2 linked regions of the Canis lupus familiaris genome follow. The protein of the gene in region 1 interacts with the protein of each later gene in a pairwise test. Links are inferred from orthologs where the notes say so. Each region holds a gene or a part of one and is shown on either strand. Other genes may lie near its edges.

The links.
Region 2: the proteins of KPNA5 (region 1) and ANP32B interact in binary tests that used the Homo sapiens proteins (3 or more experiments, as listed by UniProt). The two-hybrid records come from large-scale screens. The link is inferred for Canis lupus familiaris from reciprocal best matches to the Homo sapiens genes KPNA5 and ANP32B.

What each region holds. Positions count from the first base shown.
Region 1 is NC_049222.1:57,663,181-57,668,866, forward strand, and holds the start of KPNA5 (importin subunit alpha-6), read left to right. Parts: upstream 1-2,131; 5' UTR 2,132-2,318; coding exon 2,319-2,322; intron 2,323-2,930; exon of another isoform or gene 2,931-2,954; intron 2,955-5,686. UniProt on the Homo sapiens protein: Functions in nuclear protein import as an adapter protein for nuclear receptor KPNB1. Binds specifically and directly to substrates containing either a simple or bipartite NLS motif.
Region 2 is NC_049232.1:55,563,327-55,568,982, reverse strand, and holds the start of ANP32B (acidic leucine-rich nuclear phosphoprotein 32 family member B), read right to left. Parts: upstream 3,682-5,656; 5' UTR 3,667-3,681; coding exon 3,622-3,666; intron 1-3,621. UniProt on the Homo sapiens protein: Multifunctional protein that is involved in the regulation of many processes including cell proliferation, apoptosis, cell cycle progression or transcription.

The DNA of each region.
Region 1 (5,686 bases):
TCTCTCTCCCTCTCTCTCTCTAATGAATAAATAAAATCTTTAAAAAAAATTAGAAGGAAGAGTGGTTACTATGGGACGTCAGAGTTGTGGGCAGGGGCCAAATAATGTAGGCTTTTGTAGAAAACTATTAGAATACTTAAATAGGAGAGTGGCATAATCTGATAATGTACAGTATATCTGGGGTTTTGTGCTTCAATATGGCAGACTAACCATGTACATTTATATTCCCTGCCTCTCAAAATCTACTAAAATGACTTAGAAGAATAAAAATAATAAAAGTAAATGCTAATGAGATTTTAGCAACATTTAAAAGCTAGAAAAAGGACAGATGAGTAGTAACTAACTTGGCTAAGAAGTCAACAAAAACTAATCAGTTTAAACAAAAGAATTCTGGAAATGTTCACAAATTAAAGACTAGATACTCCTGAAAAACATACTAAAACTGGGCCTGAAGAGAGGAATAGTCTGCTGAAAAGTCTGAATAAGGAGCAGTTAGAACCCCACTTCCGGATTTCCTCCATAACCAGGGTGCCAAGTTACCTTTCCTTTTAAGACAGAAGGCTACAGGTTTGATTTCATGAAGAAACTGAATCAGAAAGACTATAAAGTCAGAAATGCACAGCTAAGAGGGGTGTCAAGGTGTTAGACTATAAGTGGGTAATAGTGAAAGCTAAATACTGAATTATGAGGCCATTTTAACCCCCATCACATTCTGATGTCTGATATGTGCCCTCCAGACAGGAAATTAAAAGATTCTTCTCCAGGGAAAATCATTGGTCTGAGAGAAAAGATCTACAGATAAAGGCTTTTAGATAGTTCTCCAATGAAACAGCCAAAGTCTCATGTTATTACTCTGTAGGGAGGCCAATAATGGGCAAGTAAACCCTCGTCTGATAACCAAGTTTACAGTAGTTTTCTTTAGTGTCTCACTCTTAAATATGAATAGATGCTCAACGATCACCAAGCATTAGTGTATGGTGGTGGCAGGAAAGATGAAACCCAATACGATCATAAAGGAGAAGAACTGGGCAGCCCGGGTGGCTCAGCGGCTTAGCGCTGCCTTTGGCCAGGGCCTGATCCTGGAGCCTCGGGATCGAGTCCCACGTCGGGTTCCCTGCATGGAGCCTGCTTCTCCCTCTGCCTGTGTCTCCGCCTCTCTCTCTCTCTCTCTCATGAATAAATAAATAAAATCTTTAAAAAGAAAAGAAAAAACTGTGAAGAATCAGAGACAATGAATGAAAAAGAAAAAAGTACTTTAAGGAAACCACAATTAATATCTTCAGAGAGACAAAAAAAAAGATATTTAATTCCTGATTCAAAAATAGGAAATAGCTCTTGGGATTAAAAATACAATAGCAGAATTTAATAATACAATAGCAGAATCTATCTACCTCTCAATCTATCTATCTCAACCTACCTCTATCTATCTATCTATCGTCTATCTATCTATCTATCTATTTATCTATCTATCTATCTCTATTTCAATCCAGAGCTGGAAGATAAGCCAAGAAATTTTTCAGCAAACAGAACAAGATAGAAAACAGGATCTTCATAGGGGCAGAAATGATGTGTTCTTTATCTTCTATATTCCGTGCCCAGCATCGCATCTGGAAAAGTCTCTTTCAATGCTGTTGAACCCCAGGCTGGATTACAAAGTTTCTGTGTCACACTAATTTAGAATTCCTTATTTGCAACTATTCATCCGTCAGGGACTTTTTGCCAGAATTCACAGATGTCATAGAATCCGAAGTTTAAACGGCAAAATTGAAACCCGTGAACGAGCAGGACGCACAGGAAGCGGTTAATGCAGCTGAAGCCGCCGAGCCTCCCCGGTGGAGCCCCACGAGGTTGCATTTTCCGTCGTGCACCCCCAGCGCGGCTCTACTATTCGGTGACAGCGCCCGGCGCCGCTTAGGCTCCCCATCCACACCACCTTGAAGGATGAATGACTGAATCTGCAAACGCAACCCACGCTTGAGTGTGAATGGAGGGGAGCTCGCGCGGAGGACGAGGTCGGGAGGACACGCGGCTGCCACCGCGCGCGCTCCCGGCTGACACCCGGGAGGCGGGGCGGGGGGCGGGGCAGATGCGGGCCACGCCCCTTGAGGGGTGGAGCTAGGCCGCTCGCTTGCGTGCAAGGGCTTCTGGGAGCCGAGCCTCGGGGTCTCGGGGAAGGGGCGCCGGGAGCCGCCATCTTGAGCTGCCGGCTTGGTCGCTGCGCTCGACGCTGGGGGCGGAGTGGCGGCCCCGCGGTTACCTGCAGCGGACGCCGCCGCCGGGAACTGGGCAGTTAAGACGCCGGCTAGAGTGCCACGTTAATGGGTAAGTCGGGGGCGGGCAGGCCAGGTTGGGTGAGAACCCCGGGCCAGGTCCCTTTGGGAGTTACAGGGTCCAGGGGCCACCGTTACTTGCCCCTTTGCTGGCGGAGGCTCGAGGACAGGCCGTGCTGCCGGGTATCGGGGTTCCGCCCCGCCCCCCGGTGTACCGCGGGGAGACCGCGGGGGCGTGGCCGCCGGACCCGGTGTTCGCTGCCGCGAAGGTGCGGGAACGCAGAGCCTCGCAGGCGGGAGGAGCCCTGCGGGCCGAGCCGGTGCCGCCGCCCCGGGCCTGGGCCCCGATTCTCGGTACGAGGGCTGGTCGGACGTCGCTCGCTCCCGGGACGCGGCGTCTGCGTGGCTCAGGCAGCGCGTTACGAGTTCCCCGGGGCCCGGAATCCGGCCCGGGTGGTGGCCCCGGGGGCCTACTTGCCGCACGGTCGCGGCGCGCCAGGTGCAGGTGCAGGTGCCCCGGGGCGGGGGGGGGGGGGGGGGGCTCCTGTCCACGCCGGCAAGGGTGGGTGGGTTACATGCTTCTCTCTGATGGCCTGTCATCTGCCTCCCCTCCCAAGATGGAAATTTAATAGGTGTTTTCCTCGGCGGTGCCTAGGAGATGAAGGATCCGAAAGCTATGAAACGGTATAGTGATGCTTCAAAAGACTAGGACATCGGCATTTACACTTAGGCTTTTAAAACATTTTTTTTTTTTTTTCTCCCCAAGAGAACGGACCTCTGACCTGGTGTCTCTTAATTACAACGCTCGGTGATTCTTATTCTGTAGGGAAGCGACTTTTCTTGGTAAACAAGGTTCAGCTGTGTCTCGTCTTCGCTGCCTGTTCGGTTGTCGGGGCTCTAGTCGGCAGGCAGGCTCCCCGTCTTGTGCCGATGTTAAATATTTTTTTTTTTTTTTTTTTTTTTTTTTTTGCTGCTAGGCACCCAAACCCGTAGGAATGGAGGCTTTTTTTTAGGGGCATGAGAAATTCGGTTGATAAATAGAAGAAGTTCAAATTCCAGTTACTTTCCCAGCCTCAAGCCAGTATTTTCAAAGAGCTAAGTGAAGGAAAAAAATAAGCTTATGACTGAAAATAAAAGGAAATCCTTTGTGCAACCTCGAAGTATGTGAATGTCATTTTTTCTTTTTGAAATCAGTTGTATGAGGGGCACCTGGGTGGCTCAGTGGTTGAGCGCCTTGGGCTCAGGGCGTGATCCAGGGGTCCTTGGGATCCAGCCCCCCACCCCCATCGGGCTCCCTGCAGGGAGCCTGCTTCTCCCTCTCTGTGTCTCTCATGAATAAATAAAATCTTTTTAAAAAATAATTTGTATGAGATAGCAAAGATAGAAAAGGGAACAATCCTGTTGGGCCAGGCACCTTTAAGAGATGACTTTTCTTGGACTTGTCCGGTTTAAAGCAACTGCAGTGAGGATGCAGGTGTTCAGTAAGAAGTTAGTACTATATCCGAAAAGGAAACCAATGATTCATGAGTTGTTGGGAGTAGATTTTATTTGGTTGACATATTTATATTCAAGGTTTTATTTTTTTTATAAATTTATTTTTTATTGGTGTTCAATTTGCCAACATACAGAATAACATCCAGTGCTCATCCCATCAAGTGCCCCCCTCAGTGCTGGTCACCCAGTCACCACCACCTCCCCCCCCACCTCACCTCCCCTTCCACCACCCCTCGTTCGTTTCCCAGAGTTAGGAGTCTCTCATGTTCTGTCTCCCTCTCTGATATTTCCCACTCTTTTTTTCTCCTTTCCTCTTTATTCCCTTTCACTATTTTTTATATTCCCCAAATGTATATTCATGGTTTTAATTGTGGTCACCTAGAATAATGGTCTTAGAAGTACTAGTGTTGAGTGTGTAGGTTGGGGAGGCACAAGGTGATTGAATCAAATGTGGGGAGAAGATATTAGAAATTGTTTCTTTACCTTTTAAAACTATTCCCTTTTTAAAAAAACTTTTGTTAATTTTATAATGGGATGGAATTTTAGCCTAGAAATACTTGTATATAAATAAATGTGGGGATGAATGCACTAATATATTTTGCATACATGAGGATATGTGATCAAAAACAATTAGAGGGGATCCCTGGGTGGCGCAGCGGTTTGGCGCCTGCCTTTGGCCCAGGGCGCGATCCTGGAGACCCGGGATCGAATCCCACGTCGGGCTCCCGGTGCATGGAGCCTGCTTCTCCCTCTCCCTCTGCCTGTGTCTCTGCCTCTCTCTCTCTCTGTGTGACTGTCATAAATAAAAAAAAAAATTAAAAAAAAAATTAGAGGCCAGTGACCTGGAAAAGCCTAATGTTGTAGGTGATAAATACTAAGATGCTTATTGCTGTGAACATTTCATTTTGCTAAAATGTTTTATACTTATTGAGCGTAATGCAACAAGTAATGTTGAAGCCCAGTTTGCTCTGCAGTGAACTTATCTCTGTTTTTCTCTTCCCAGAGCCTAAACTCTTATTAATAAAACAATTTTTATATATGAAATGCTTAGAGAATAATGCTGAACATTGTTATTATTAATAAAGTTAGATTGAGCTGTTTCTAATGATAAGTATTTGTAGGTCCACAGTATTGTTGCAATCCATTCATTAAATCCTTTGAAAGAAGGATTTTCGTCAATTATAAATGCACTTTAATTGCTAGAATATACATGTGATAGGTTCAAAGACAGAGAGTACCTCTTAAATCATTCTGAAGTGCTCAGCCTATTCCATTCTACTTTTAGCTCCACCTATAATGAAATTTTTCTGTCTTTACCAGTGACCTAATTATCACATCTTTTGCCTCATGTGGTATTTAGCTTATTGTTGGAACTTGTATTCGTTCAATGAATCAATGAATGAATAAATTGAGTGACTTATTTTTAGTGCTACTACAAATGAAATACTCCTTTGTCTTTTGAATTCCCTTCTCTTTCAGGACTCTTACTTCTGATTATCTTATTCCTCTGACCTATTTCTTTTGGTTTCCTTTGCTCTTTCCTTTTCCCAATCGAAGGTAAACGTTCTCAAGATTTCTCCCTTGGCCATCTCTCTTTTATAGCTCTGCATGATCTTGGGTGATCAGTTTGGACTCTTCATCAGTTTTGACCCTATTTTTTAACCATCTATAGGTCTTAATCTCCTGTATGTGCCCTAAGTATTAATAAGTATATAATTATAACATCTTTAAAATGAAAATTACTATACATCTAGTAGAATGGCTACAATTAACAACAAAATTCTGACAATACCAAGTGTAGACAGAACACAGAGCAACAGGAAGTCTTATACATTGCTGGTGGAAATGCAGAATGGTACAATACTCTGCAATTTCTTATAAAAAATGAAGCATACACTTGCCATATTATCTATCAATCCTAC
Region 2 (5,656 bases), on another chromosome or scaffold:
GGCTCTGTTCTTAGCAGGGAGTCTGCTTAAGATTCTTTCTCCCCCGCTCTCTGCCCCTCCCCCCACTCAAATAAATAAATCTTAAAAAAAAAAAAAAAAAAGAACTGTAGCTATTGAAAGGCCTTGCAAAGAGGAAAGCTTTCAGAACTAGAAAACCCTCAAGCTTCAAAATTCTAGGTAGGAAGAATTTCTCTTATATGGTACAATGTGTAAACTTCACTCTCTTTTTTGCCTTTAAAAATTATGGTAAAATTCACATAACATAAAGTTCATCTTAACTCTTTGAAAGTGTACAATTCAGTGACATTTAGGACATTCATAACCACTACCACTACCTAGTTCCAGAACATTTTCCTTACCCCAAAAAGAAACCCTGTACCCATTAGGCTCTCCCTTCTGACCTCCCCTGATCCCTAGCAACGCTTATCTGTGTTCTGTCTCTACAGATTTGCCTGTATGGGACATTTCATATAAGTTGAATCATATAGTATGTAGTAGTTCCATACCATGATAAGACAAATATCATCTTAATATTATTATACAAATAATTTGGCCTTGTGGACCCCCTGAAAGAGTAGCAGGATCGCTGAGAGATCTGCAGAACAGGATTGAGAAATGACCATCTAGGTCATCCAAGGCGTGGAGTTAGAGGTCCCCATTACAGCTTCTCTTCTAGCACAAGGTGGTTGTGCCCCATGTCAAACCTGAGACCTCCCCCTCCCAGCTCCTCACCTCTTTTGTAAATTCTTCCAGTAATTTTCTGCAGTTGAGGTGAGTAATATAGTATAATAGGTTCATACCTAAACTGCTCAAAGTAATCAAACAACCAAATGGGGACACATATTTATTAGTAATAAATCTGAATGTGGTAACAAACAAACAATTATACCACATACTTACTTCCAATAAAATTCTGATCACTTCCTGCCACTCTCATTGCAGTTTATAATCATAGTAATTACCTTTTACCTGTGACAAGAGCCGTCATGTATTTTTGAATATCAAGCAGCAGCCATGCTATAAATTGCTAGCCCCTTTCTCCTCTAATGATAACAGCTTATTTTTTCTTCAAGTATTCTTCTCAGAGTAATTAGCATGCTTATTATACAGCATATTCAAATGTTAATGTGCACACTGCACTGACGCTATTGTGAGACCCATTTTGCTCAGGAGCTAAAATTATGTTGCCATTCTGCTTGGTGCTAGAGGTTCTGTGCCTAAAACCTGTTTTCCACATGCAAGGAGCCAAGGTTACTTAATTAGAATGCTGAGCTAGAATGAGAAGAGTCTGACACTTAATATAGAACCTGCAAAGCTAAATGGGGTCAGCGAGTATAGGGCCTACACATTTGAATGAGCCATCCATCACTATAGAGACAATCAATATTTGAGCAGTCTGGCTTTGGGGCATGTTTAACATTGTTCCTCCAGGGGCGCTACCAAACTCTGCCTCTGCAGGTTAAAACACCAGAAATCACCGTTCAGTTGGAATCATTTTCCTCACACTGAGCTGAAGTCTGCTTGAATTTTCACTCTTCAGTGGTTGGTTTTTTGTTTTTGTTTTTGTTTTTGTTTTTGTTTTTGTTTTTGCTCTGCCCTTTGAAGCCCAAAGAGCATATCTGCTTTCTGTTCTGTAACTTCCCTGCAGAGACTAAGGATGGTGACCTTGTCCCTATGGTCTGTTCTCTCAAGGCTCAGGGACCCAGTTCTTATATCATGGGTTACCAGTCCTTTTCCCACTGTGGCTAGTGTTGCCCCCACTTTTTTTTTTTTTTTTTTCTAAATGAGACATTCAGAACCTGAAACAGTGATCCAGGTGTAGTTGGATTGGTGTGGAAATGCACAGATCTCTCTTGGATGTGATTCTACAGTGCTTTCCTGGAGCATATTACCTTTCTTGTTATCTACCACTGATTGATCATCAGCAAAAACCACCAAACTTTCTAAACCATGTATTGGTACACAGGCAATTAGCCATTTAGATCCAAATACAGGATCACGGATTTGTTATCATCGCATTTTGTCATGTTAAATTTGACCCAATGCTTTGGCCTATCAAGAGCCTTTTTTTTTAAATCTATCCTGAATCTATCCTTTTCGTCCAAAATGTAATCAACCTACCAATACTGCTATCTTTACACATATCAGGATTAAAAGCAACTGACAGAAAAGGCCTCAGGATGGAGCCCTTCACCTGCTATCAGAGACTTCAAAGTATTCACTCAACCTGTTATAACCCTTCCTCCGTACTCTTCTTTTCTTTCAACTGTCTAATCCTCTAACTCAAGTTGTTAAGGAGGGAAAACATCAAATAATCCATGTCACTAACTGGCCAAGTAAAGTGACCTGGAAAAGAAACCAAGGAAAAGGAGTGAATAAGGACTGTTGAATAGCCTGATGTGACAGGACAGGATTCTCTGAATCCTTCTTGAGCTAGGTCCACACACCGGGACAAATTGAGGAGGTACTAAGGCATGAGCAAAATGGAAGATAGTCTAGGGTTCTGTTGTGATGAGATAGAGAGGAAATCAATAACCAGGAAATAGAACCAGTGTTGGAAGCTGGGAGATAGCCAGTTAGTACATCAAACTGGAAGGACTAGGCAGAGAGAACAGGGACAGGGGAGGATCACAAGGAGAGTGAAGCAAAGAATGGACACGTAAAACAGAATCTGGACATGCTAAATGCACTCCAGAGCTGTGTTGTTCAATACGGTAGCCACTAGCTATAGGTGACAATTTACATTTAAAGTAATAAAAATTAAATTAAAAATTCAGTTCCTCAGTTGCATTGGTCATATTTCAAGTGTTTGATAGCCACATGTGGCTAGTGGCTACCATATTGGTTGGTACAGAAGACCATTTTCATCATTGCAGAAAGTTCTATTGGACAGCTCATCTCTAGAGCACTCTAGGTGCCAAACCAGGTAAGATATCATTTTAGTGCATTTGTTTTTCCTTTGCTTTCCTTCAAGACCCAGCTCAAATATCAATTCTTCTGGGAATTTGCCCCATGCTTGGTCTGTAACTGTATGCCCTGGGCAGCAGAACATTCTGAGCTATGCAGTTCTTGGTGATAATGCATAGATCTAGATGGGACTTGGCATGGAGATCCTAGCATGGGCATTTGCCCAATCCTTAACCAAAATGTGGCTTTTTTTCTGTTTGGGGAAGGCATTCTCCTTGACAAAGCAATTAGTTTTGGGACTAAGACACGTGGAGCAGGAGAGAGGGAGGGAAGAATACTGGCCCAGTCAGCCAGATCTGCTGAATCCACCTCTGCAGCTATGAAAAACCATTTGCAAAAAAGCTTTTGACCTCCTGTCCACAAACATTATGTAGGCCATCTTGGCTAGGCAGTCAAGAAGTTGAAGTCAAATTGATGCAAGATATCTTGTCATCGTACCTGTAGGCCCTCACTAAATTTCCATTCTGCCTTCTTTCTCTTTTAATTTCCTGTGCCAGAAGCTCTTAGACTTTCTCATAATAAGGTCTATCAATTCTGCCTCCTAAAATCTCCCTAGGATCTGTCCCTTCCCTCAATATTCTCAGTTAATTTATCTTCTCTCTCCTTTCTCACCCAGCCCCCACCCCACCACCTAAATGTTCTTACGAACCTTACCTGACCATGACACTCTCCTCCCTGAAATCCTTCAGTGGCTCCCATGACATCATAAAGGCCTGCTGCTCAGGGCCCCACTACCCTTCTGGTTTCTCTTTGTTGTTGTTTCTAATATTTTATTTATTTATTCATGAGAGACACAGACAGAGACAGAGACATAGGCAGAGGGAGAAGCAGGCTCCCTGCAGTGAACCTGATGCGGGACTCAGTCCTAGGACCTCGGAATCACAACCTGAGCCAAAGGCAGACGCTCAACCACTGAGCCACTTAGGGGTCTCTACCCTTCCGGTTCAAGTCTTTCTGCTCTCTGACATGTAGCGCACACTCCAGCCCAGAACCACGGTGTCCTCCTGCAGCTCTGTACCTCTCTACTTGCAGCTCCTCCTGTCGGAAATGCCCCCGCTCTTGCCCCTTGCGGAATTTCTACACCCCTGTTAAGATTCCATTTAAATCTCATCTCCTCTGAGAAGTCTACCCAGGGCCCTCAGACAGACTTAAGTGATCCATCAGCTATGCCCACTGTTCCGGCTTTGGTCAGAACACATGCTGTGTATGACACTCATGAGTCTGTTTCTCCTGCTAAACTGTGAGGTCTCAGGGGAAGGCAGCATGTCTGACTCATCTCTTATCCCCAGTGGCAAGCATAGGACCTGACACATCACAAACATTTACTAAATGCCTGTTCAAGTGAACAACAGTCTATACCATTATGAGGCTCCACGGGGACTGAGAGTTGAGGACTATGTGGATCCTCTGTGAGGGTTGCTACTGCTGGGTTCCTTAGAGGCACCCCTGGATGGGCAGCCCTGCTAGTCCAAGAATGTGGGAAGGAGCAAGAAGACTGCTGAAACCCTCCCACACACTGGCCCTCCCCTGCCCCCGCCCCCACCCCAGGGACAGGCCAGGCACTGTGACCTACACAAGCCCATTCCTCACTTCTCCTGAAAAAGCACAGGATCCCCTAACGAAGGCTCTTGTAGGGACCCACCTGTGGGTAACTCTATAAAGAGAATTAGGGGCAAGGGTGAAAAGCCTCTTTGTAGAATGGAGAGGGATGGAACACTGCTACTCTTGTACTGTATGGGGGATGTCACTCACTGGTGAAGGAAATGTGGGAGGTTGCAGCAACACTTGCTATGTTTTTAAAAGTGCACCATACCTCACGGTTACCAAGACATTCCCACTTGTATCATCTTCTTTAGTCTGTTCTCCACCTTGAGGGCCAAGCAGGAGAGATCTGGGGTTGTCATTTATAGATGTGGAAATGAATAGCCAGAGAGGTCACAATTTTGAGCAAAGACCCATAAAAATGAAATGAGTTGGGACGCCTTGGTGGCTCAGTAGTTGAGCATTGCCTTCGGCTCAGGGCAAGATGGAGTCCACATGGGGCTTCCTTCATGGAGCCTGCTTCTCCCTCTGCCTGTGTCTCTGTCTCTGTGTGTGTGTGTGTCTCTCATGAATAAATAAATAAAATCTTTTAAAAAAATGCAATGACTTACCCAGGGCCATGAAGTAATAATGAGATCTATAATAAATGGGGGTTACTTAAAAAGCATAGGCTGGGTTTCTTTAACAAAATGCTTAAAATCAGATACATGTTCTAGAAAATTGAGCCTGCAGAGGGCTTTCAGGCATCTCTTGGGAAATGTGACCAGATGACATTAAAGATTTCTTCCAGCTATGAGATTCTATGAAATTTAGTGTTTACTGTGTCCCAGGTTCACGTAACTCCATTAAGTACCATTATGAACTCCCTCATAATTCCTAAAATAAATAGATCTCCTGCCCAGCCTGGCATCCCTGTCTGACTTACTGAGAAGTCTCATGCCTACTACGTATGTATTCCATCAACTGGCCATCAATCTCTTCTTTCCACTCCTACTCCCTACAACATAGCAACTCTATTACTTGATCAGTGGTTCACTTCCTCTGTCAGAGATAACTAGGATTTAGAGCTAGAGGCGTAATTTCTATGTAAGACTAGAAAGCAGAACTGTCGTCATGTATTATTGAGATCTTAATTTAATTCCCATTA